3 linked regions of the Alligator mississippiensis genome follow. The protein of the gene in region 1 interacts with the protein of each later gene in a pairwise test. Links are inferred from orthologs where the notes say so. Each region holds a gene or a part of one and is shown on either strand. Other genes may lie near its edges.

The links.
Region 2: the proteins of ARL3 (region 1) and PDE6D interact in binary tests that used the Homo sapiens proteins (3 or more experiments, as listed by UniProt). The link is inferred for Alligator mississippiensis from reciprocal best matches to the Homo sapiens genes ARL3 and PDE6D.
Region 3: the proteins of ARL3 (region 1) and ARL2BP interact in binary tests that used the Homo sapiens proteins (3 or more experiments, as listed by UniProt). The link is inferred for Alligator mississippiensis from reciprocal best matches to the Homo sapiens genes ARL3 and ARL2BP.

Annotation. Positions count from the first base shown.
Region 1 is NC_081829.1:99,163,651-99,171,560, reverse strand, and holds the start of ARL3 (ADP-ribosylation factor-like protein 3), read right to left. Parts: upstream 3,016-7,910; 5' UTR 2,913-3,015; coding exon 2,910-2,912; intron 1-2,909. Other genes in the region: SFXN2 (sideroflexin-2), read left to right, coding at 6,063-6,092, 6,379-6,551, 7,012-7,182. UniProt on the Homo sapiens protein: Small GTP-binding protein which cycles between an inactive GDP-bound and an active GTP-bound form, and the rate of cycling is regulated by guanine nucleotide exchange factors (GEF) and GTPase-activating proteins (GAP).
Region 2 is NC_081830.1:84,859,943-84,867,915, reverse strand, and holds the start of PDE6D (retinal rod rhodopsin-sensitive cGMP 3',5'-cyclic phosphodiesterase subunit delta), read right to left. Parts: upstream 3,068-7,973; 5' UTR 2,935-3,067; coding exon 2,885-2,934; intron 1-2,884. UniProt on the Homo sapiens protein: Promotes the release of prenylated target proteins from cellular membranes. Modulates the activity of prenylated or palmitoylated Ras family members by regulating their subcellular location.
Region 3 is NC_081833.1:37,228,228-37,235,859, reverse strand, and holds the start of ARL2BP (ADP-ribosylation factor-like protein 2-binding protein), read right to left. Parts: upstream 3,072-7,632; 5' UTR 2,963-3,071; coding exon 2,919-2,962; intron 217-2,918; coding exon 155-216; intron 1-154. UniProt on the Homo sapiens protein: Together with ARL2, plays a role in the nuclear translocation, retention and transcriptional activity of STAT3. May play a role as an effector of ARL2.

The sequences.
Region 1 (7,910 bases):
GAGCTCCTCCCGGGTATGGAAGAAAGCACCGATGTTTCTGTTTAAAGGCTGGCATCATGGACTGCCGGGGGTGGGAGATGATCTAGGAAGCCGGTGAATGGATGTAAAGGACCAAAAATGATGGGTCTTGAACAGGACCTTCGTAGCAGCGCTCTGGGTGGAATATGAGCGCAGCAAAACTCAGGCTTGTCGTGGCTAGGGGAAAGGGTGGCAGAGAGGTTAGGATGTGACATAACCATCAGTGAGAGAGTGCCATTTTCTGGATGAAGATATTGCAATATATATTTATATGGCACAGTTTCAAAAAAAATTCAGAACCCAGTATTGAATATTATGTGCCGTCTTAAGAGAGAAACAGAGCAAGCTGGAAATGAGGGAAAGTTACCACCATAACCTTCAGAGAATAAGGATGTGTGGTTGAGGGAAAGCATGTCATTTCTAGGTTTTAAAATACCCACAGAATCACCAAAGGACTTTTTGTTACAGCTCCATGCAGTAATCCTGTTTTCTTTAGGAAAAAAGCTACACGTATATAAAAATGCAATGACATTTATAGACCTAGCTATGGGGTTTGCGGGTTTATTCAGCTTTAAATCCAAGCTGTATGGCTTTCTAGAACTAGCTGATGCATGTAACTGCGTTCAGTGCCACAGAAGCAGTTCAAAGCAAGATTCACATTTATAGGCCAAATAAGAAATTAGTCTTGGGGGAAGAGAGCATTGAAATAACCTGTGTAAATATCCTCTTGGAACGGAGGATATAAAGGGTGTAATGGAGGGAACAATCTCCTGTTATGTTCTGAGCTTAAAGATGGGGCCTTGCAGTCAAAAGAGAGCAGAGAGTCGCGTCCCTAGAAGTAAATAGCTTCTCTTTAGCTGCATTAGCCGCAAAGCTCAGATAATGAATATAAAATATAACTGCTGGGAAACCTGCCCTTGGTTACCAATAAATGTTTGCCGAGCAGATGTGGCATTAACGACAGCTCCAGCGAAGTCTGCTCAAGTACAGGCCTACTGCAAAGAGTTTCGCTACCCAAACCATCGCTTGGACCACGTCGACTCCTCTCCTCGCGTCTTCCGCTGGCTCCTACCCCTCCGTCTCATGAAGCGCAAACTATTTGTCTGTACTTTCAAGGCCCTTCATATCCTCTTTGCCGCTGCGATGTCAAGCCCAGTTCCAGCCTCCATCCCCAACTGATTACATTTCAAGCCGGCGCCTCTGCTGCCAGATGCTGGGGGAGGCCTCCTCATAAAACAGCCTCCTTCTCCACCTTGACGTCGATGCCTAAAAAACTTTGTCCTCTTCCCAGGAGCTGAACTGCTGTCACCACCGCCGACCACACTGACCCGACTGTCTCGCTGCTCCCTGGACCTTGCAATGCGTCTGTAGCCCTACGTGGTCGTTAGCCTCATGGGTAGACTGTACGCCGAGTGGGGCAGAGACCGTCTCTCTACTGTGTGTTTGAGCAGCATGGACTCTCGATCCGCAACCTAGGAGCCCCGATCACGGACTACGGTAGGCAAGGAGGGTCTTTGGAGAAGGTGTGGCTGGATTTACACCGGACTCACCAGCCGTTTCGGGCAAATGGTGTGTTGTACCCAATCTCTCGCCGTCAGCCGCAGTTCACGTGCGGCGCATCATTATGCAACGCGTGTGGAGGGGGGGGAATCCTTCCCGACGGCGGCACCTGACTGACTGATGCCCGGATGAATGACGTTTGATTGCCTTTCTCCGAGCCCGCATCGCCACAATGTTCCTAACGGTCATCCAATCACCCAGCCTTTTTCGAAATACAACCACAGTAAATTAATCTATTGAGCGCACTTTATTCAGTACTTCTTACGCTGGCAAAACTCCCAATGAAGTCATTAGCTTGCTGTGTCTCCACCATATGGTGTCATTCAATGCGGGCAATTTCTTTCCGTGCCGAAGTCTAACATTTGCCGGATTCAATTCACCTAGACAGCTTTCCCCGCTCAAACCCACTGACGCAGCTTTCTGTCAAAAGAGGTCACACGCCGGTTTCTCTTTTGCCGCCCTGCAAGAGAGCTACATCTCCAGCTTTTGCACGTGCAAAATTAAACGGGCTCTACGAAAACAGAGGGGAGGGGGGAAAAAAAAAAGTCGAGGAAGCCGAGCGGAGGAAGTCTGGGCAGATTTCCATAGGAAGAAAGCTCGCGCGTGAAACCTGCATCTACGCGCTTCAACCGGGACGCTGCCAACCTGCTCCTTTCCCCGCGTGAAACGTAGGTCTCTTTTCTAGAATACCGACACGTTTTCTCCGGCCGTACCTTGACGGCTACCGGCGGTCGGCGCCAATTTTAAGACCTAATTAAAGCAAAGGCCTGACGTAACGGGCTCGTACGAGGAGGAGAAAGTCGCGGAGCTCCTCGGTCCGCTCTCCAGGCGTCCTCGAGGGACGCCGGTTTTCAAGTCGTGTCTCCGGCAGCTCGCGGTCGGGGGCGACGATCCCCGAATCCGACGCGGGGTGTTTTGCGGGGCCGGCTGATGCCTGCGACTCGGTGTTGCCGTCTGTGAAATGGACCCTGTTCCCGAACGCCGCGGCACGGTCCTGTCTCGGACGGACGCCGGTCACCGCCGCCGCGCGCGGAGGGAGTCCTCTCCATACCAGCCTTCCCTCGGCGCAGAGAGAAACGGCGCGTGCCGCCCCGTCGCCGCCGGCGGACATAGGACGGCGATGCTGCCACGCCGCCCGCCCGCCCACCCGTGGGGTTTGGTCACGACAACCCCACTGCCACTGCCACCCCGCCGCCGGGAGCCCCTCCCCCAGCCCTGGCGGGGGCCCGCTCCGTGCCCCGCTTCCCTGGCGGGGCCCCCGTGCCGCCCCTCCCCTCCCCTCCCCTCCCCCGCCCGGGCCCGGGCCCGGCCCGCGCCCCCCCGGCACTCACCATCCTCTACGCGGCTCCCGGGTTACCATGGGCAACTGCGTCATGCACGCCGGCGCCGCCGACGTCTAGCGTCACCCCCCCCCCGCCGCCGCCGCGGTGACGCAGGCACGCAAGGACGGAACGTGCGCGAAGCGGCGCGTGGAGGAGGAGTAGGAGGAGGAAGGGGTGGGGAAGGCCAGCCCCGCCCCCTCCCGGGCTGTGAAGCGGGCGCATGCGTGTTGGGCGCTGGAGGCGGGGTGGGGTGGGGTGGGGCGGGGTGGCTGCGGGGCGCTGATTGGCCGGGGCGGGCCACGCCGGCGGCGCCCACGTGGGATGGAGACGCGGCAGGTAAGGGGGGCAGCGCGTGCAGTGCGGGGGGAGGGGGGTTGCAGTGCGCCGGTGTAGTGCGGCACGTGCCAGCGATGCGCAGGTGGGCCTGTGCAGCGTTGGCTTGTGCAGCGTGGCCTTGAGCAGCACGTGCCAGCGATGCCCAGTGTGGGCGCAGTGCTGGCGTGTGCAGTGCTCGACAGTGCAGTGCGCCAGTGAAGCGTGGTGGGGCCCCGCGCAGCGCCCGGGGCGAATGTGGCTGCTGTGGCGGGGGGGTGCAGTGCAGCGCAGTGCAGCGCAGTGCACACCCAGGGGTGGGGGAGCCCAGGGCTACCCCTCGGGGTGCTGCACATCCCCTCCGCCAGGCCTCCAGCCCCTCGCCCTCGCCCGCAGCGTTTTGACGGCGCCCCCCGCCTCGTGGGGTGGCGTGCGGACCCTGTTGCCAGCCCCGTTTGCGGTCAGCGAGCGAGCGAGCGAGACCCCCGCCCGCCCGGCGCGCTGGGCAGTAACCAGGGGGTTAATCTTGACTCGCAGGCCGGACCCGCCCGTCCGGGGTTCACGGGGCTGACCGCGTCCCCAATTAGTAACCAGGCTTTGCAGGGGATGGCGGGACGCTGGGCGCCTTTTGCCCCCGCGGGCACCGGGACAGGAGCGGGGTCAGGGGCCCTCGCGACGCCGTCGCTTCACCACCCCCGTCCCCGTGAGAGCAGGCCGGGCCGCTTCCCAGCTCTGCTACTGCCCTCCTGGGTGTCCCGAGGCATGTCCCTTAATCTGCCTGTACCCCGGGCACGGAGCAGGACCTAGCCCCGGTTGGCCGCTGCCTCTTCTACGATTTCCCCCGTCTGAAACGGGCGCAGGCTGCGCGTCCCCTCTTCCAAGTGCCTCGTGAGGATCCTCGGGGTCCCGTCAAGTGCCCCAGAGAATTGCGAAAGATGCAGCATTTCCCAGGCAGTGATGGCGCTTTATAAGTCACCTTTTTTTTGCATTCATCCAGGGAATAATTAACTTTCTCTAAGACTCGGTGTGTGCGCAGCTGGCGAGCTCCAGCTAAGAGCCGGCAGCTGGGACCGCGCTCACGGTAAGTCAGCTTGAAACCTCCTCCTAGCCTGGGAGTTTTTGGCATGGGGCTGTTCCCAGTGCTTGGATCCCAGGATCTTCCCCCTGCTCCCAACCATTAGCCGTTGGCTATTTCGTCCGGTGCCGCCACCTCCAGAGCGCTGCAGGCAGCGGTTGGTGGTTGCAGCCAGCTCTGGGGAGGCAGGTGAGTCTCCTCGTTGCAAGGAGCCGTAGGGAAGTGGGGATGTCCCAGGTCGCAGTGAAACCCCTCCCAGGCCCACGTTCTCGCCATTGCTGCCACACTAGACCTCAAACACGATCCTACTTCGTGTTGACCCTACGAGGATCGTGGAATCAGCAACGTGGCAGGTTCCCGCTGGAAATGTTGGGGCTCGTTGTGAAGTATCCGTGGCAGATGGAGCTTGTAACCTCTGCAGACCCAACAACGATATCCGGGACACTTAAAGGAGTGCATGGGACTGGAGGGCAGCTGCAGTGTCTGAAAGCCCTGCCTGGGACAGCGTCGCTGGCCTCAAAGGAAAGGATCGGAGGGCTCTCGAGCTCTTTCAGCCCAGGCTGCAGGGTCCCCAGCGAAGCACCCACAGCCGTGGGGGGGCTTTAGGATCGGGGGCCTGCGAAACATTAAACCAAGGTGGTGAAGCAGTCAGGCCGGGAGGTCCAAGGGAAGGTTTCTTTCTCAGGGTTGCAGAAGTGTCGGATCTGGCTCCATATTCAGTATTACCCCCCAGCCATGGCTTGGTTAGACCCGTGATTCCCACCCGGGTGCTGCAGCAGCTTGGGGGTCCCGTGAGATCCTTGTAAGGGTGGCGCGCAGCATTGCAACTGCCTACGTGTGATTTACAAGCTCGGCCCAGATTTCAAATAAAAATCTGTAGTGCCAAACCCCTTTGGCAGTGGGGGGCTGTCTGAGCCGTTTTGTAGTCGTGAGGGGCTGGATGCTCGAGAGATCCCAGGCAGAAGCCATGCGCCGTGCTATGGAGAATGACCATCCCCTCCCAGTCCGTACCAATTTGATCATGGTGGGGAAAATTCCTTCCTGACCCCAAATGGGATCAGTTTGAGTAGAGGGGCCCGATGATGGGCTCAGAGGGCTGGTTTAAGAGCTCTGTGATATGCCCCTGCTTCAGCTCTGCTTAGCCAGCGAACACGGTGGCTACATGGCCACCTCCGTGCCAGCAGCTCTTGGATCCTGGTGCCATGATGGGGATCTCGGTCCCTGTTTGTAGGGAGCAGCTCCCGAGTGGGATAAAAGTCACGGCCTGTGCTGGGCACAGAGTCATAGTGAGGTCGGGCTGGCAGGGCCCTCTGGTTGCCACGTCTGGTCCAGCCCCGTCTGAATCATCCCTGTCTACGAGGCACGATGGAAGCTGGTGGGTTGTATTGGTTTGTTAAGAGCTGGCTTGCAATCGCCCCCATCGCTGCACATCAGTCCCTATAATAAAGCTTAGGTGGTGATGCACCAGGGATGGTGCACAGGTGAAAGCTGCTGTGTCCCCCTCCAGCTGCTTGGAGCTACTGGCACCCTTGACCTCCTTGGTCAATGGACTTGGCCATTTTGACCTTGACCTTGGACACGGGAGCTGGTGTCGTGCTGGAGCGGGAGCCTAGCGGGGATTGCTGCCTGCACAGAGGCCGAGCCCCAGGGGCTCTGACCCCATGCTAGGCGCTGTGCAGATATGTGACCGTGGACCTGTCCATGTTACGCTCGTGCCCAAAGGAGGATTTTGCCGATGGACCTACCTCGGCTTGGGTGGGGTGCAATACTTCGTCATGGCCCTGAACCAACAGGAGATGGCAAAGGTGGGGTTGGCTTGATGCCTTGTATGGTAGGGGCTGAAGTCGGGGTCTGGGTCCCTCTTTGCTGGGTGAACACCAGCAAGCCCTACATCGCCATGCTGGGAGAGTCTCGCAGTGCGGACGAGCCCATGACATGGGCTTATTCACTGCTTCTCTCTCTCCCTGGGCTTCTGCGGGGTGGCCTGGGACGGGGGGCGTTACCAGAGACAGGTTGGTTGCGGAGGCTGATCTCTGGGCAGTGTCGGGCATGGGAGAGCGGGGTCCGTTTACCAGTGCTCCCCTTCTCCAGCTCCGCCTTACAATGGCACCCGCTTCGGCCAGCTTCGACATCGATACCCCGCGGTGGGACCAGACCACGTTCGTGGGGCGCCTCAAGCACTTCTTCAACATCACGGACCCACGCACGGTGCTGGTGTCGGAGCAAGAGCTGGACAGGGCCAAGGTGCTCGTGCAAGGCTGCAGGTACACAGCTGGGCAGCCCAGGCGCCTGGAGGCCTTTCTCAGGGCTACACCGTGAACCATTGAGGGGTTGGGATGGGGGCGACACGCAGCACGAGGCTCCTCACTGAGCCCTCCCGGTGGGGGTTCCCATCCAGCCCCCGCGGGTAGGAAAGAGGTGAGCAAAGCCTTGCACTCCTGCCGACGGGGGGAGTTTGAACCTAGGGCTCCGGGGTACCGCGAGATCTGGTGGAAGGAGTCGGGCGGCCTGGCTCCCACGTACTGGAGCACGTGTCATTTGGGTGTATAGCTCCCTGATGCCCCATGGCGGGGGAAACCAGGCTCTCCCAGGGGGAAACCCTTTTTCAGCAGAGCCCTGCCTCAGGCACCTTGGCAGGACATCATGGGTGGAGGATCATGACGGCAGGGCACAGCTGTGCCCAGGTGGGTGCCTCCCAGGTGCTGATGGCTCTCTGGTTGGCAGGGCAGGCGTCGTGCCGCCGGGGACCAGCCAGGAGCAGCTGCTGTATGCCAAGAAGCTCTACGACTCGGCCTTCCACCCTGACAGCGGGGAGAAGATGAACCTCATCGGGAGGATGTCGTTCCAGGTGCCCGGGGGCATGGCCATCACGGGCTTCATGCTCCAGTTCTACAGGTAATGCTCCCTGGACAGGTTGGGAGCCAGGGCGGACGGGGCGGACCAGTGCCCCTTGGTGGGAAAAGGCTGTTGGACGGGATCTCGCCCTCACGGCGTGCTGCAACGTGATGAGCAGGTCTCGCTTGCAGCAGGCGTCTCCTGCATGCCAGGGCGCCCTTCAAGGGGTTGCAGCCTCCTCCCTCTCCTCCCCGTCCTGGCCCAAGCTGTCGTTGCATCCTGCCCTCTCTTCCTCTGCCACATTTCAACATGCCAGCCTTTCTGGGAGTGACGCGGTGGGGGCAGAAATCCTGAATTCAAGGACAAAACGCGACCTGCCTGGGAGGCTGCAGGGAGCGGGAGGGCGGTTTTGTTCCCTGCTAGCAGCCGGTGCCAGAGCTGCGGTGGAAGGAGCTCAAGTGCCCTGGTTCCTAGCCCGGTGCCCTCTTCTCTAGGTCACGCTTCATTCAAGTGTGTCGCTCCCTGATGCCCCGTGGCAGGGGATACCCAGGCCAGAGGAGCACTGGCCACTCTTTCTGGTGTTTCCCTGGTGGGGTCCAGTTGTGCTGGGGCTTTCCAAACTGTCTGGGAGGCTCCACACTCCCTGAAACGTGGCAGTTTCTGCCTGTATGTCCTTCCCCACCCCCATCTCTAACACAGCCTAATAGCGGGCTCAAAACCAAGTCTGCAGTGCCTGATGGAAATGTCTCCTGGCCCCACCAACCCTCCCCGTTCTCCCTTATCTTATT
Region 2 (7,973 bases), on another chromosome or scaffold:
GGGTCAGGGCCCAGTCATTCCAGGAAGTGAACAAAGACTGAACTTGGACTGCTCCCACATGGCTGTACTAAGCAGTAACATTTAGGTTATTAAGCTGGCCCACTTAGGTAGGTTCAGGTAGGACAAATACTAACTATGTCTGCTGAAAATAGTGGAAAGTTACACCTGCACGACCTCCTCTTCCCCCCAGCCTTGAAAGGTGACAAAACACTTTACTTTGAGTAATCTTAACTATACACAGGGCTTAATTCATGCAACACTTAAATATAGCTGTGGCCAAGTTCCCTAGAAAGCAGAAGATACATGCGGTCCCTATACATACTGACCCAACAAGAATATCAATTTTATTTTGTGCTTGTTCATTTCTTAGAGTCCTTGGAGATTACTTAACAGATTCCTAGAGCCCTGGGGCTGGAAGACGGCTCCAGGTCACATCTAGTCCAACCCCTGCCTGAGGCAAGATCAGCCCTGTTCAAGCCATCCCATATAAATCCACAGTCAATCCTGATGCAACACAAGACGTAATGCCCTAACCTGCCACAAGTAAAGCCAACATCCTGCTGCAGCAAAGATCATTAATTGCTCAAGAGATCCCAAGTAGAGGACACACCTCCTACTATAGAAGGCAAAACTCCAACTGTCTGGACCAACCTAACCAGGGGGTAAAATTGCTTCCTGACACCAAATATAGTGATGTTAGACTCCCCACCAGCAGGAGGGGAAAAGATTCCTTTCCGACCCATGGGTCAGCCAGAAAAGCCCAAAAGCAAAGAAATCCCCACGGTACAGCATAGGCATCGCTACACCAGATCATCCCCAGCCAGTGGCTGTCCAACCTCTCCTTGAACCCCTCCAGCGAGGGAGTCTGCACCTTCCCTGGCGTCTATTCCTCTGCCTCCCTGCTCTGACAGTCAAGAAGTCTTTCCTGAAATCCAGCGTAAAGCTACTTTTTGTTTTGTCTTTGCTGCTGCCGGCAAGTTAGCTTGAACTTCTGACTAGCCTCTAATGGCCTTTGGTCTAAGCATCTTTCTGACAACTGAAATATCATACTGCATGCTTCAGGAAGATTTGCTGCTGCTACTTTGGAAACAAAAAAGGAAACTATCCCAAAACCAGATGGTTTGGGGGGTGAGAGGAGAGAGAAAGGACTTCATGATCTTACAGAGAGAAGCATCTGCTTGCCATTTGATGGTAGCCATTTGGCTAAATCCAACATCTAGAAGCTCGGATCCTGATGCAGCTGGTAAAGAGATTATATGTATCTCTGGTAAAGAGATTATATGCATCTCACTGCAGGGGAAGTCCCGTTAGGTAAAAACGGCATCCAAAAATACCACAGAATTACATCGCCCGTGTCTGGCCCCTTCCCCCACGCTGTCAGCGAGGAGCGGTGCAGCCAGCACCCAGCTCTGCCTCCTGCCCCTGTGCTAAGCATAGCCACAAAACCGGCATGCACACCTCCTTCCCCGGAGCCCGTCATGCTTGCGCTCCTCCTCCTGCTCTCGGGCTCAACCTTTGCTGCAACCTCGGGGAGGGAGCGAAGCCCTTGGCCAGCAGCTCTCGGCCTGCCACAGAGCAGTGGTCCCTTGCCTGGACTCGAACCTCCCCCCCACACACCTGCAGTCCCTGGACAGACTCGTGGCCTCCCAGATGGACTCATACCCCCACCCCAGATGCCTCCACCCAGGGGGGGCCATCAGGCTACAGCAGGGGCCACAAGTCTAAGGTACCCAGAACAGACTCACGGCCCCACAGATGGACTCACAGCCTCTGGATAGACTCGAGACCCCCAGAGAAAGACTCATGCCCCCCCTTGGATGGACTCAAGACCCCCACATCAGACTCACCCCCCCCCCCGCATTGGGCTTGCCGGCCCCTGCATTGACTCCAGATCTGGATGGACCTGAGACCGCCCCTCCCCCCAAAAAAACACTCGTAGCTTCCCAAATGGACTCATGCCCCCGCCATGAGTCCATCCAGGGGGGCCATGAGTCTATGTGGGGGAGGGGCAAGTATAAGACCCCCTGAACAGACTCAGGACCCCCCCCTCCCCCCACGCCAGACTCGGCACCCTCCAGTTAGACTCACAGGATCAACTCAAGACCACACTGGATGGACCTGGGACCCCCCAGAACAGGCCCTCCACCCCCTGGCTGGGCTCAGGACCCCCCTGGATGGACCCAGGACCCCCAGAACAGGCCCTCCACCCCCTGGCTGGGCTCAGGACCCCCCTGGATGGACCCAGGACCCCCAGAACAGGCCCTCCACCCCCTGGCTGGGCTCAGGACCCCCCTGGATGGACCCAGGACCCCCAGAACAGGCCCTCCACCCCCTGGCTGGGCTCAGGACCCCCCTGGATGGACCCAGGACCCCCAGAACAGGCCCTCCACCCCCTGGCTGGGCTCAGGACCCCCCTGGATGGACCCAGGACCCCCAGAACAGGCCCTCCACCCCCTGGCTGGGCTCAGGACCCCCCTGGATGGACCCAGGACCCCCAGAACAGGCCCTCCACCCCCTGGCTGGGCTCAGGACCCCCCTGGATGGACCCAGGACCCCCAGAACAGGCCCTCCACCCCCTGGCTGGGCTCAGGACCCTCCTGGATGAACCCAGGACCCCCAGAACAGATCCTCCGCCCCCTGGATGTGCTCATGGCCTCCCTGGATGGGCTCAGGACCCCCCTGCATGAACCTGGGACCCCCAGAACAGGCCCTCCGCCCCCTGGGTGGACACAAGCAGACCCCCATTAGAGACTCAGCACCCCCTGGACGGACTGAGGATCCCGCTGGACGGGCCCGAGCAGCCCCTCCCCCCACGAAGTGGGCTCCGCCCCCCCCCGCGCGGTCCCCATGGCAACGCGGAGCCCCCACCCTGCCCGGCGGATACAGCTTGAAGCCCCTCAGGATCTCCTTGGCCCGCTCGTCCTTGGCCGACATGGTCCCGCGGCGCTGGCGCCGCCCCGGGCGCAGGACAGGACAGGACAAGACAGGACGGGTCGGGTCGGGTCGTGCGGGCTCGGGCGCGGACCGCGGCGCCTCACAGCCCGCAGCCGCCACGACCCAGCCCGGGCGGGGCCAGCCAATGGGCGTTCGCCGCTCCGCCCCCCGGTGCCGGACGGACAGCGCCCACAGCCAATGAGAGCGCGGCGCGGCCTGGCAGCCAGCAAGGGCGGCTGCGCAAGTAGGGGCGGTGGAGGAGACACGCCCCCTCCCTCTTGGCGACCTGACGTCGCCGCGGGGATGGGAGCCGCAGCGGGACAAATATGTGCGAGGGGCGCGGCCGCTGGGGACTGCAAAGGGCGCGGCGCGGCGCCCCCTGCGGGCGCCACGTGAGAGTGCGCGAGACACGTGCGGGGCCCCGCTCTCGCACCATGTGCGATCCGCAGGGATCCGCGTTTTCCCTGATTTCAAAACATCCTCACTTTTCGGTTTAAAAAAAAAAAGGAACCCCAAATCCACATTTTCCCGTGATTAAATGAAAAGCCACTAATATAGAGATATAGACATAGTGGTCTTTAAATCATGGAAAAATGTGGATTTGGGGTTACTTTTTTTTTTTTTTTTTAACCGAAAAGTGAGGATTTTTTGAAATCAAGGAAAACCAGGATCCCTGGCAATCAGTCATAGTAACAGTGTTCAAATGGCCCCGCATTTTGGAGACAAGGGTCTTCGTGTAAATCTGATATCTTTGATTAAACCAACTCCAAGAGTTGGGAAAATTGTTCTTTGCAAGCTTTGGGGTAGAAAGCTGTCATTTTGGAGGCAGCTCCTTGGCGCAGCATATGCAAAACCCCAGTCACTCTCAGGTCATCTTTGCTAACTTTTGGGTTTGCGGCCAGCGTTTTGCTTTGCCTGGGAATAAAGAAATGCTTCATTTTTGATGGCCCAGCTCTCACTCACTTGGAGTCACACAGCAATGTAGAACAAAGAAGAAAGCTTATTTGCATACTTTTTCAGTGTATTTTGAGTTTCCAATGTAATAATTCCATATTTAAAACCTGGCAACGCCAGACCCTGTGTGCAAGCCATGTGCAGGGAAGGGTCCCACTGCCCCTTCCCAGGGGAGGAGGAAGCTCTCCCTTGGGACCCCTCCTTATTCGGTCTCCCTCTGCTGAGAGCAGCCCTGCAGCCAGGTGCTTCACAAGGGGCTGCTCCTCTGGCTTGGAGACCCTGGCTCCTCTCCACCTCTGGGAGCTCCTTCTTTTCCCTCAACTCCCAGGAAGCAGGGGGTGTTTTCTTCCTGTAAAGAAGCAGGGTTTGGGGGCACTGATAGTCTCCACCAGCAGAGCGGACTCTGCTCCATGACACGGGATGGGGATCAGGGAGTCACTGTGGATGGTTTACTAAAAACATTGCGTCAGGGCCCGGCTGCCGTCAAGAAGGCAAACACCACGTTCAGGAATATTGAGGCAATCGTGAACACAACGGAGACTATCGTGATGCCCCTTTGTAGATCCATGGGGCATCCACACCGTAAATATTGCACCCGGCTCTGGTCCCCACACCCCAGAAAGGATGCAGAAGAAGTAGGGAAGGGCGACACGGATGATCAGTGGCACGGAGGGGCTGCCATCGGGGGAGAGATTAAGGAGGCCAGGCCTGTTCCACTTAGAAAAAGAGACGCCTCGGCGGGGGTCGTGATAGGGGTTTACAACAGGGTGGGCAAAATACGGCTCGGATCTGGTCCACCAAGTGATTCTGTCCAGCCTGTGCTGGGTCCCTCTGTCCCACATAGTCCAGGCGTGGGGGGCAGCCTGGGCTGTGGCGTGTGTGGCTGGTCCTGCCGTGCCCAGGAGGCGGTGCAGTGGCTGATTCAGATTCACAGAAGTTTGGGGCTGGAAGGGACCTCGTGAGACCATCGGGCCCAGCCCCCCTGCTGTGGGCTGGATAGACTGCGGGGGTCAAATAACCCCAGCACAGTGTGCGTCCAGTCTCCTTTGGAAGAGCTCCAGGGTAGATTCATAGATTGTAAGGGGCCGGAAGGGACCTCAGAAGATCATCGCGTCCAGCCCCCTGCACCAAGCAGGAAAGATAACTGGGGGTCAGGCGACCCCAGCGAGGTGACCGTCATCTCCTCTTGAAGATGTCCAGGGTCGGTGATTGCACCACCTCTGGAGGGAGCTTATTCCAGTCTGGACACCCTGACTATGAAGAAGTTTTTCCTAACATTGAGCCTGAATCGATCTTCCAGGAGTTTGTGGCCATTACTCCTGGTTTTCCCCTCAGGTGCCCTGGTGCACGGTTGCTCACCGAGCCCTTGATGTACTCCCCTAGTGCAGCGGTAAGCTGCTACCAGGTCTCCTCTCACCCTCTTTTCCTCAGGCTGCAGAGTCCCACGTCCTCAGCCTTTCCTCGTATGCCTTGCCTTTTAAGACTCTGATCATGCGGGTGGCTCTTCTTTGGACTTTCTCAAGCTTGTCCACGTCCTTGTTCAAGTGCGATGCCCAGAACTGGACGCAGTACTCCAGCTGTAGTCTCACCAGTGCTGAGTAGAGCGGAAGAATCATTGCCTTGGCTTTGTCGGAGATGCATCGATTGATGCACGCCAGAGTACTATTTGCTCTGCTGGCTACAGCGTTATACCGCCGGCTTATATTCATACTGTGGTCTGTTATTACCCCCAGGTCCCTTTCATTCGTGGTGCTGGTCAGTTTGGTGCTGCCAAGCCTGTAGGTGTGTGGGGGTTGCTCGTCCCGAGGTGCAGCACTTTACATTTCTCGATGTTGAACTTCATCAGATTCCTGTCCACCCAACTTGCTAGCCTGTCTAGGTCCACCTGTATCTGTAGCCTATCTTCAAGCGTGACCACACTCCCCGGTAACTTGGTGTCATCCGTGAACTTGGCCCATGAGCTCTTCACCCCCACAGCCAAATTGTTAATAAAGACGTTGAAAAGTACAGGACCAAGCACCGACTCTGCCGGGACGCCGCTGCCCACTTCTTGCCAGGATGACACAGATCCGTTCACTACGACTGGGTTCTGTCCTGCGGCCAGTTTCTCACCCACCTGACTGTCTCGGAGTTAAGCCCACAATCCTCCAACTTTCTCAAGAGGACATTGTGGGATACTAGTTCAAAGGCCTTTCGGTAGGTAGGTGCCTGCACCAGCCCCACCCGGAGTCTATTCCAGAGTCTGGTCACACAAACCATGAAGTTTTTCCTTATATCCAGTCTGAAACCTTCTTCTAGGAGTTTATGTCCATTGCTCCTGGTTTTCCTCTGAGGCACTTTGGTGAATAGTTGTTCATCTAGCCCCTGATGCTCTCCCCTGATATATTTGCAAGCTGCCACCAAATCCCCCTGAAGTCTTCTCTTTTCTAAGCTGAACAGTCCCAGATCTGTCAGCCTTTTCTCGTATGGCTTGCTCTTCGGGCCTCTAATCATACGAGTGGCTCATCTCTGGACTCCCTCGAGCTTCTCCACATCCTTCTTGAGGGATGGCTCCCAGAACTGGACGCCTTACTCCAGCCGCAGCCTCGCCAATGCTGAGTAGAGCAGAAGAAAAACTTCCTTCGTTTTGTTTGAGATGCATCGGTTGATGCACGCCAGCGTATTGTTTGTTCTGCCAAATGTAGCATCACACCGGTGGCTCGTATTCATTTTATGGTCAATTATGAACCCCAGGTCCCTTTTGGACATGGTGTTAGGTACCGTAGCACCACCGAGCCTGTAAGTTTGTGGATTTTTCCTCCTCAGATGGAGCACTTGACACTCCTCAGTGCTGAACAGCATCTGGTTCTGGTCCACCCACCTAATTAATGTGTCTAGGTCTGCCTGGATCATCAGCCTACCCTGATGTGTGGCCACACTTCCCCACAGCTTAGTGTCATCGGCAAACTTTGTCAGTTTGCTTTTCACCTCCACATCCAGATCAGTGATGAAGATGTTGGTGACATCAATGATGTTGGTGGCATTCATGTGGTGGCAGCTCATTCTGCCCGGCTGTTGCTGCCAGTGTCACCACTGCCACCACTGCCAGACCCGGCCCCATTGCCCAGGCACCCCGGCCCATCCACCCTGCACGCACCACCGTGGGTGCTGGACAGAGCAGGCGGGCAGGTGAGGTCTTCATGGGGCCTGGCCCAGGACTGCTGCAGGCAGAGCGTGTTCAGCTGGGTAGATGGGATGGGGCCGCAGGTGTGCGGGGAGCAGCATCCAAGAACAGGACAGGCAGCCAGGGCTGGGGCTGGAGCCGAGATCATGGGGCAGTGACAGTACAGGGCCGAGGCCTGGGGCAGAGTCACGACCCACTCCCCACAGGTCCCTGTGACGGGCGCTGGTCCCGTGGGCAGAGACGTGTGGGGAGTGGATTGTGGCTTTGCCCCAGGCCCCAGCCCTGCCCTGTCGCTGCCCCATGATCCCAGCCCCATCCTCCCCAACACTGCCCCCACCCCCGCCTGCAGTCCCTTCCCTTCTGCCCGGCCAAGTAGATGCTGCCCGCAGGGGTCCTGGACCAGTCTCCATGCCTGGCACCTCTGGCAGTGGGCGCAGGCTGGACAGGGCTGGGGCCAGACAGGATTAGTTGCACCCCACCTTTGCCCCCTACCCCCCATCCACTGGGCCAAGTCAGGACCCTCTCCTTCCCCTCGGTCTGCAACAGCTCCTGAAAACTCCTTAAGTGGCCGTCCAACCCAAGGAATTGCCCACCCCAGCTTACAAAATACTAAATGGCAAGGAGAAAGTCAATAGGGGTTTATTATTTTCTGTCTCTCACGAGACAAAAACGAGGGGTCCCAGCATGAAGCCAGTAGGTAGTAAGTTGGAAACTACCAAAAGGAAGTTCTTTTTCACTCAGCGTGTCACTGCAGCATGGAGTTCAGACGTGGTGGGAGCGGACAGCTCAGCCAGATCCACCAATGGGTAGGACATGTCCTTGGAGGAAAGGGGCATCAGTCGCTACTGAGCACAGGAGTGGGGTGCACGACCTCTGAGTCACAACTTCCTGGACCTTAAATGCTGGAGGCTGCAAGTGAGAG
Region 3 (7,632 bases), on another chromosome or scaffold:
CAAGGAAATACAAGTTCTACCTCAAAGCAGGCAGAGGGAAGGCAGGGGCTGCGCTGCTTACTCCACATGCTTCTATCAGTAGAATGCAATGTATATCCTGCCCCTCAATACTTTTATTGCTTATTTTAAGGCACATCTAGATGCAGGAGCTTACCCATTATAATATCCTCTAAATACCCAACCACAGCATCAAATTCTGCTTCTGAAGGGGAAGATCTGAAAACAAGAAAAAGGAAGATTAGTCTTAAATTGTTAATGGAACCCTAAATATAAATTAGTGCAATTACCCTGATACCACATCAGCAAAATGAATACTTTCCCTGGTTTACATTATAAAAAAGGCTCACTGCACACAAAAATTACTTGATATTAAAACTATTAATCCCTGTGGCAGGCCTTAATCTCATTAAGTTTCCATCAGATACTAAGGATAGCTAGTTGGTGAAAACAAAGCTTTATTCTGCAGGGCATTATTACTAGTGTAAATTCATTTCTTGGAGAGGCTCCAGAAATTACTGAAGACTTGCATTTGGACCAGCAGCCTACACCTTTTTCAAATTATGACTCCATGTGAAAAAAATAAAGCTTCAATCCCCATTTCATATACTGCTAAACTGTAGTCCTGATCATCTCCTAAACACTCACTCACATATAAACTAAAAAAAAAAATGTACACAATAGGATTAACTAAAGTAAAGTACTTACTGGAAATAATTATTTAACATTTTTCCAATATAACATAATCACAAAGAGGGTGATGAAAGAGTCAAAACTAAACTTTTAACTTTTGGGATGCAAAACTACAGATCCTACACGATCAGCCGATACAACAGTCCCTATCTATATGGATTGCTAAATCCTACTTAAAAATGAATTAGTAGCTTCCGTTATTTTGCAACAAGAAAACAAAAACTACATGCCCTTATTCAAACAGACTTGTTTATATGAGGAATCCCATTAGCAGCACCTCAGAAGACTGAGTCCCTCTGCCAATTTTATGTTTCTTGATGTTTTCTACAGACATCCAATAATTCAAAGCTTCCCTGACTCTGGCATTTGGCAGCAGTTTTGGGGTTATGGGTAAATTATAAAAAAAAAAAAGTTTCCTCAGTATGTTTTAGGGGCACAGACTTTTTTCCTCCTCACATCAAAGGTGAAAACCTGGCGGCACACTTGCGAACTATGTTCCTTAGCCAAAGCAACAGACTATCTTGTATGGAAATTGTTCTCCATCTCTCTCATGCAAAGAAGAATCTTACTTCAAACCATATTTTTAAAAAATAATCTACAAAGTTATTTTGCTGTTAATAATTTTTACAGCAAAATAAAGTTCAGCAATGCTTACATTTGTGATCTGTTAAGTTGGGCATCAAAAATACACCGCGCAGAACCCTGTCATCCTGCCTTCAGCGCTGCCTGACTGGCCCCAGGCAGCATGTGCTGGCCCTGCCCTGGCCTTGCATGCAGTGTAAAGCCCATTTCATGTGGGCTAAACATGACAGGGCCAGTCTGGGGTGAACTTTATGCAGCACCTGCATTGGACTGGCCCTGCACATTGGATCCAGGGCTGCTTTGGATCAGGCCCATAGACTGGCCGCCAGTGCCAGATCCAGCACACAGCCGGTCCAGTGCAGGTGCTACACACACTGCAGACCAACCCTGTGTGTAGCACACAGCTTGGACTCATCCCACATGCCATGTGCAAGGGTAGGGCCAGCATGCATGAGGGCTGAAGCCAGACTGGTCCAAGGCATGTTGCCCTGTGGGCTGGCTACAGCATAAGGGTGAGTCTGTAGGCCCAATCTGGCCTGCAGACTGGCCCCAAGTACCACAGCAAGCCTGCGAAACCACATAAGTTTGACACTCCTCTATGTTAAATGCTGGTAGTGCACATGCAGAAAACACGAATGAACAGCAGTCTGACACGCCACCTGAAGGCAGAAGAAAACTATTAAGACAAGTCTACAAACAACAGCTAAATCCCACTATATAGCCTAGCACATGGGTGGGCAATTATTTGGGCTGAGGGCCACTTAAGGAGTTCTGGTGAGCTGTTGTAGGCTGGGGGGGTGCGAGGGGGGGGGTGCACTGAACTGGCCCAGTACAGCAGAGGAGCAAAGGAGGATGGGGGCAACTGATCCTATCATGCCCCTGGCCCATCCACCCCGTACCTACCGCCAAGGGTGCTGGACAGAGTGGGCAAGTGGGGTCTCCCTGGAGACTGGCTGGGGATCCCTGAGGGCAGGGTGTGTTCAGCCCCGCAGATGGGATGGGATTGCAGAGCAATGACAGCATGGGGCTGGGGCAGAGCCACGATCAGCTCCCCACACCCCCCCCCGCACTGGGAGCCGGTTCCGTAGGCAAGAACATGCAGGGAGCGGATCGTGGCTCTGCCCCGGCTCCATGTTGTCACTACTCCATGGTCCTGGACCCAGTCCCACCCATCCTGCTCCTGGACATAGCTCCCCACCCACCTGCAGCCCCATCCTTTCTGTCTGGATGAGTGCACCCTGCCTGCGGGGGTCTTTAGCTGGTCTCCACAGGGGCCTTGCCTGCCTGCTCTGTCCAGTGGTGGGTGTAGGGCAGATGGCTGGGGTGCTCAGGCAGTGAGGCTGGGTCTGGTGGCAGCGGAGACACTAGTGGCAGTAAGTGGGCTGAGTGAGCTGCCTACAGGGGCCGCCAGGAAGCTGAACTTGGCTATTGTGCTGCCCCTACCCTGCTGCATGCCCGGGGTGGCCGAACCAGCCAATACAGCACAGCCCAGGCTGCCCCCTGCACTGGGGCCAGGTGGGCCGAGGGACGAGCCGTGGGCTGGGTAGAGTCAGCTCGGACCTGCTCCTAACACCGCGGGTTTCTTGCCCTGGAGCCGTGAAGCTCCTTTAACCGAGGCCAAACCCCGCGGAGCTCCGGCCACTCACACGGACACCCACGTTTCCAGGGTTTCTTCCTCTGCCGTTTCCATCGCCGCCGCCGCCTCACCTGCGGAATGAGCAGCCGGGGGGAAAAGAGAAAACACCGCGGCCCCCGGCCGGGGGCAGCCCAGCGCGCGCACACGCGGAGGCCGTGGCCGCTCCACCCCCTGCCCCAGGGCACGAGCGGGGCTCTGTCCGCTGGCTGCGCACGCCCGGCCCCGGACAGCGGCCCCGCCGCGGGCACCCGGGGGCAGCACGTTCCGCACGGCCGAGCCGGGCAGGCCTCCCCACTGGACGGTTATGTCCTGCCCGGTTGCCTAGGAAATGCCTCCTTCCGGCAGCTGCAGCCAATGCTGAGCGAGGGGGCCGCCCCCAAGGGAAAGGGCCGGGCCAATGGGAGAGCGCGGCAGTGGTGACGTGTCCCCGGCTGGGTGGTGCAGCGCCCGGTGGCCCGGCGGCGTGACGATGGCGGGCGGGAGCGTGGGGCGTCTCGCACGTGCCGCCGGTCGCAGTTCCTGGCGCACCCCGCTGGGCCGCGCGCCTCGCACAGGCCGCCCGGCACCGGCTGCCGGGCCTGAGATCTGGGCACTCGGTTTAATGACAGAAATCAAGCGGGCAGCCGCAAGGGCGAGGCCAGACCCAGAGGAGATCAGACAGGTGCTTCGGACAGCACAGCTGTGCAGCCAGAGCTCGGAGAAGGCCGAGGCTGTGTTAGCAGCCCGCCCCCCCGTGGACGTTACATGCGTACTGAGTCATGTTAAAGGGATGCCAATTCCAGCGCACTGCCCTTTAACAACAGGAACAACCTTCAAATACCTCAAAAGGTTGTTACAAAGAGGATGGAGCTGGACTGTTCTCAGTGGTGGCAGATACTCAAAAAAGCCAATGGTCAAGTTACAAGGAAATATCAGGTTAGATATTAGGAAAAACCTCTCTCACTAGCAGGGGAGTGCAGCACTGGAACAGGTCACCCAGAAAGGTGGTGGACGCTCCATCTTTGGAGGTTTTTAAGGCCTGGGTACACAAAGCCTTGGCTGGGATGATCCACTTGGGAAACAGTCCTGCTCCGGAGGCAGGGGGTTGGAGTAGACTTTTTGAGGTCCCTTCCAGCCCTAGTTTTCTATAAACCTATGAAATAAATAAATTGACTGAATAGACTGCTTTCACATGCACAATGTGAGGAAGTCCTAATTTTACAATTACACTGTTAAGTACACTTTTGAATGTACAATATTCCAAGTCAATACAAGTTTGAGAGAGAGACTGTCAAAATGAGTGATTCATGGCAATTGCTAAGTTTACTTGTAGTTGTTCCAGTAACTCACTGCTCTGTAAAATCCCATTCCATTCAATTTGGTTATTGAACCGCAAGCCACATGTACGACCTTTAAACTCTATTTCAAACATTTATCTGAATATGAAGGAGACCACCTGAAAAAAGCTTGAGCTGGTGGCAACTGTGGCAGCCTACCTGTTGTATAACAAAGCTGCTGCAAACGCAGCACACTGGTGCTGGATGTTGCCATCAACTTCCCAGAAAATTCTGATTCAAATTCAAAATCTTGGTTCTGTTCTCCCAAATTGTTAGGGCTGCAGTCCTTCAAGGCCTTTTTTCCATTCCCTCCAAATGAAATCATACAAAAAAATCAGGAAAGGTTTAGCCAAAAGCTGCTTAACCTCAGGTAAGGTGTTTATTTTATATCCCACTTGCAAAGCATGCAAGTTCTAATGTTCAAAACACTTTTGATTTTGAAAGCAGATGCAACCTGATAAAACTCCACTTTAACTCTGCTATTCTACAAGTTAAAGTCTAGCACTTAAATTTCTTGTAGTTATAGAACAATAGCAAACATCTAAATTATCCAAATAATTCAAAGGCTGTTCCACCATTTGTGTATTTAAAATCTGTTTCTTTCCTTCCAGGTAAACTCCATTCAAGGTGGTGAAGCACAGCACTAATACGTATACCTCCCCTTCTGATCTCCTTATACTATAAAGTCACCCTGATCCATCACTCAACCTTCTAGGTGCTTCCTTCTCAAATATTTCCTTTCATAGACAAAAGACATGTCTCTGTAGAGCTCTAGAAGCCTAAGGATGTTATAGTAGGAAGAGGATATAAAGAGCTCTCCAAGCAGAACTAGTCTAACTCACAGTATCACAGTGCTTAGGGTCAGAAGGGACCTAAACAGATCAGGTCTGACCCTCTACCCCGGGCAGGAAGGGGTGCCAGGGTCATATCACTCCAGCCAAATGTCTGTCCAGCCTCCTCTTGAAGACCCCCAAGGTAGAAGAGAGTACCACCTCACTTGGGAGCCCATTCCAGAGCCTGGCAGCCCTAACTGTAAAGTAATGTCTCCCAATGTCCAACCTAAACCTTCTCTCTAATAATTTGTGGCTGTTATTCCTAGTAACCCCTGGTGGTGCCACAGGGAACAGTGCCTTCCCCAATTCCCATTGGTCCCCCCTGGTGAGTTTGTAAAGGGCCACCAGATCCCCTCTCATTCTCCTCTAGTGGAGGCTGAACAGGTTCAGGCCCTTTAGCCTCTCTTCGTAGAGCCTGCCCTGCTGCCCCTTGACCATGCGAGTAGCCCTCCTCTGGACCCTCTCAATGCTAGCCACATCTCTCTTGAAGTGCAGCACCCAGAACTGGATGCAGTACTCCAACTGTGGCCTGACCAATGCCATGTAGAGGAGAAGGATCACCTCCCTGGACCTGCTTGTGATGCATCTGTAGATGCATGACAAGGTGTGGTTAGCATTACTGACTGCTTCCTCGCATTGGCGGGTCACGTTCAGCTTTGAGTCAACAATGACTCCAAGATCCCTTTCTGCCACCATGTTAACAAGAAGGGTGTTCCAGAGCCTGTAGGTGTGTTGCTGGTTCCTTCTCCCTACATGCAGTATCTTGCACTTGTCTGCATTGAGTTCTATCCTAGTCTCATCTGCCCACCTTTGTAATTTGTCTAGATTTTCATAGATTTCATAGACATTAGGGCTGGAAGGGACCTCGGAAGATCATCGAGTCCAGCCCACTGCCCAAAGGGCAGGAAGTCAGCTGGGGTCATAGGATCCCAGCAAAATAAGCATCCGGTTTGCTCTTGAAGGTGTTCAATGTAGGCGCTTGAACCACCTCCGGTGGCAGGCTGTTCCAGACCTTGGGGGCTCGGACAGTAAAGAAATTCTTCCTTATGTCCAGCCTGAAACGGTCTTGTAGTAGTTTATGACCGTTCGACCTAGTCATCATCCCTAGGGGCGCTCTGGTGAACAAACGTTCCCCCAGATACTGGTGGTCACCCCTGATAAACTTATAGGTGTCCATCAGATCACCCCTGAGCCTCTGCTTTTCCAGGCTAAAGAGCCCCAGGGCTCTCAGCCTGTCATCGTAGGGTCTGCTTCCCTGACCTCTGATCATGCGCGTGGCTCTTCTCTGGACTCTCTCAAGCTTCTCCACATCCTTTTTGAATTGTGGAGCCCAAAACTGGACGCAGTACTCCAGCTGTGGCCTCACCAAGGCCGAGTACAAGGGGAGAATGACGTCCCGGGATTTGCTTGAGAAGCATCTATGGATGCAAGCCAGCGTTTTGGTCGCTTTACTAGCTGCAGCATCGCATTGCAGGCTCATGTTCATCTTGTGGTCAATGATGACCCCCAAGTCTCTTTCGTCCATAGCGCTAGCCAACATAGCACTGCCGAGCCTATAAGGATGCTGCGGGTTTTTCTTCCCAAGGTGGATGCTTTGCCCCAAAGTTTGGTGTCATCGGCGAACTTGGCCAGTCTGCTTCTGACTCCAGTGTCCACATCGTTAATGAAGATGTTGAACAGTATGGGTCCAAGGACAGAGCTTTGGGGGACCCCACTGGTCACAGGACACCATGAGTGACTTCCATCAATTACTACCCTCTGGGTCCGACCCCGGAGCCAATTTTCCAGCCAGTGGATTGTGGTGGACCCAAGGCGACAATTGGCCAGTTTCACCAAGAGGTGATCATGGGAAACCAGATCGAAGGCTTTTTTGAAGTCAAGATATATGACATCAATCTCTTCTCCCTTGTCCAGATGATAGGTCACCTGGTCGTAGAAGGAAATGAGATTGGTCAAGCAAGACCCACCCGCAACAAACCCGTGCTGGCTATCCCTTAAGATGTTGGCGTCGGCCAGTCCATTAAGGATGGCCTCTTTAATAAACTTTTCTAAGATCTTCCCTGGGATAGAAGTCAGGCTGATGGGCCTATAGTTAGCCGGATCCACTTTCCTCCCTTTCTTGAAGATAGGCACCACATTGGCCTTCTTCCAGTCTTTGGGCACTACGCCAGAGCGCCAAGAGTTTTCAAAGATCCGTGCTAGAGGCTGGGCTATGATGCTCGCCTACAGGCTCGCCTATGATGCTAGATCTAGCTGGATTCTGTCCCTCCCCTCCAGCGTGCCCACCTCACCCCACAACTTGGTGTTGTCAGCAAATTTGAACAGCGTGCTTTCCACACCCACATCCAGATCACTGATAAAGACTTTGAACAGTACAGGCCCCAGGACCAAGCCCTGGGGGACACCACTGCCCACATCCCTCCAGATCAAAAACAACCTGTCCACCACCACTTTCTGGGTGCGACCATCTAGCCAATTTGCCACCCATCTGACAGTGTAGGCATCAATGCTGCAGTCATCAAGTTTTTTTTTTTAAGAGAATGTGGCAGGAAACCGTGTCAAAGGCCTTCTTAAA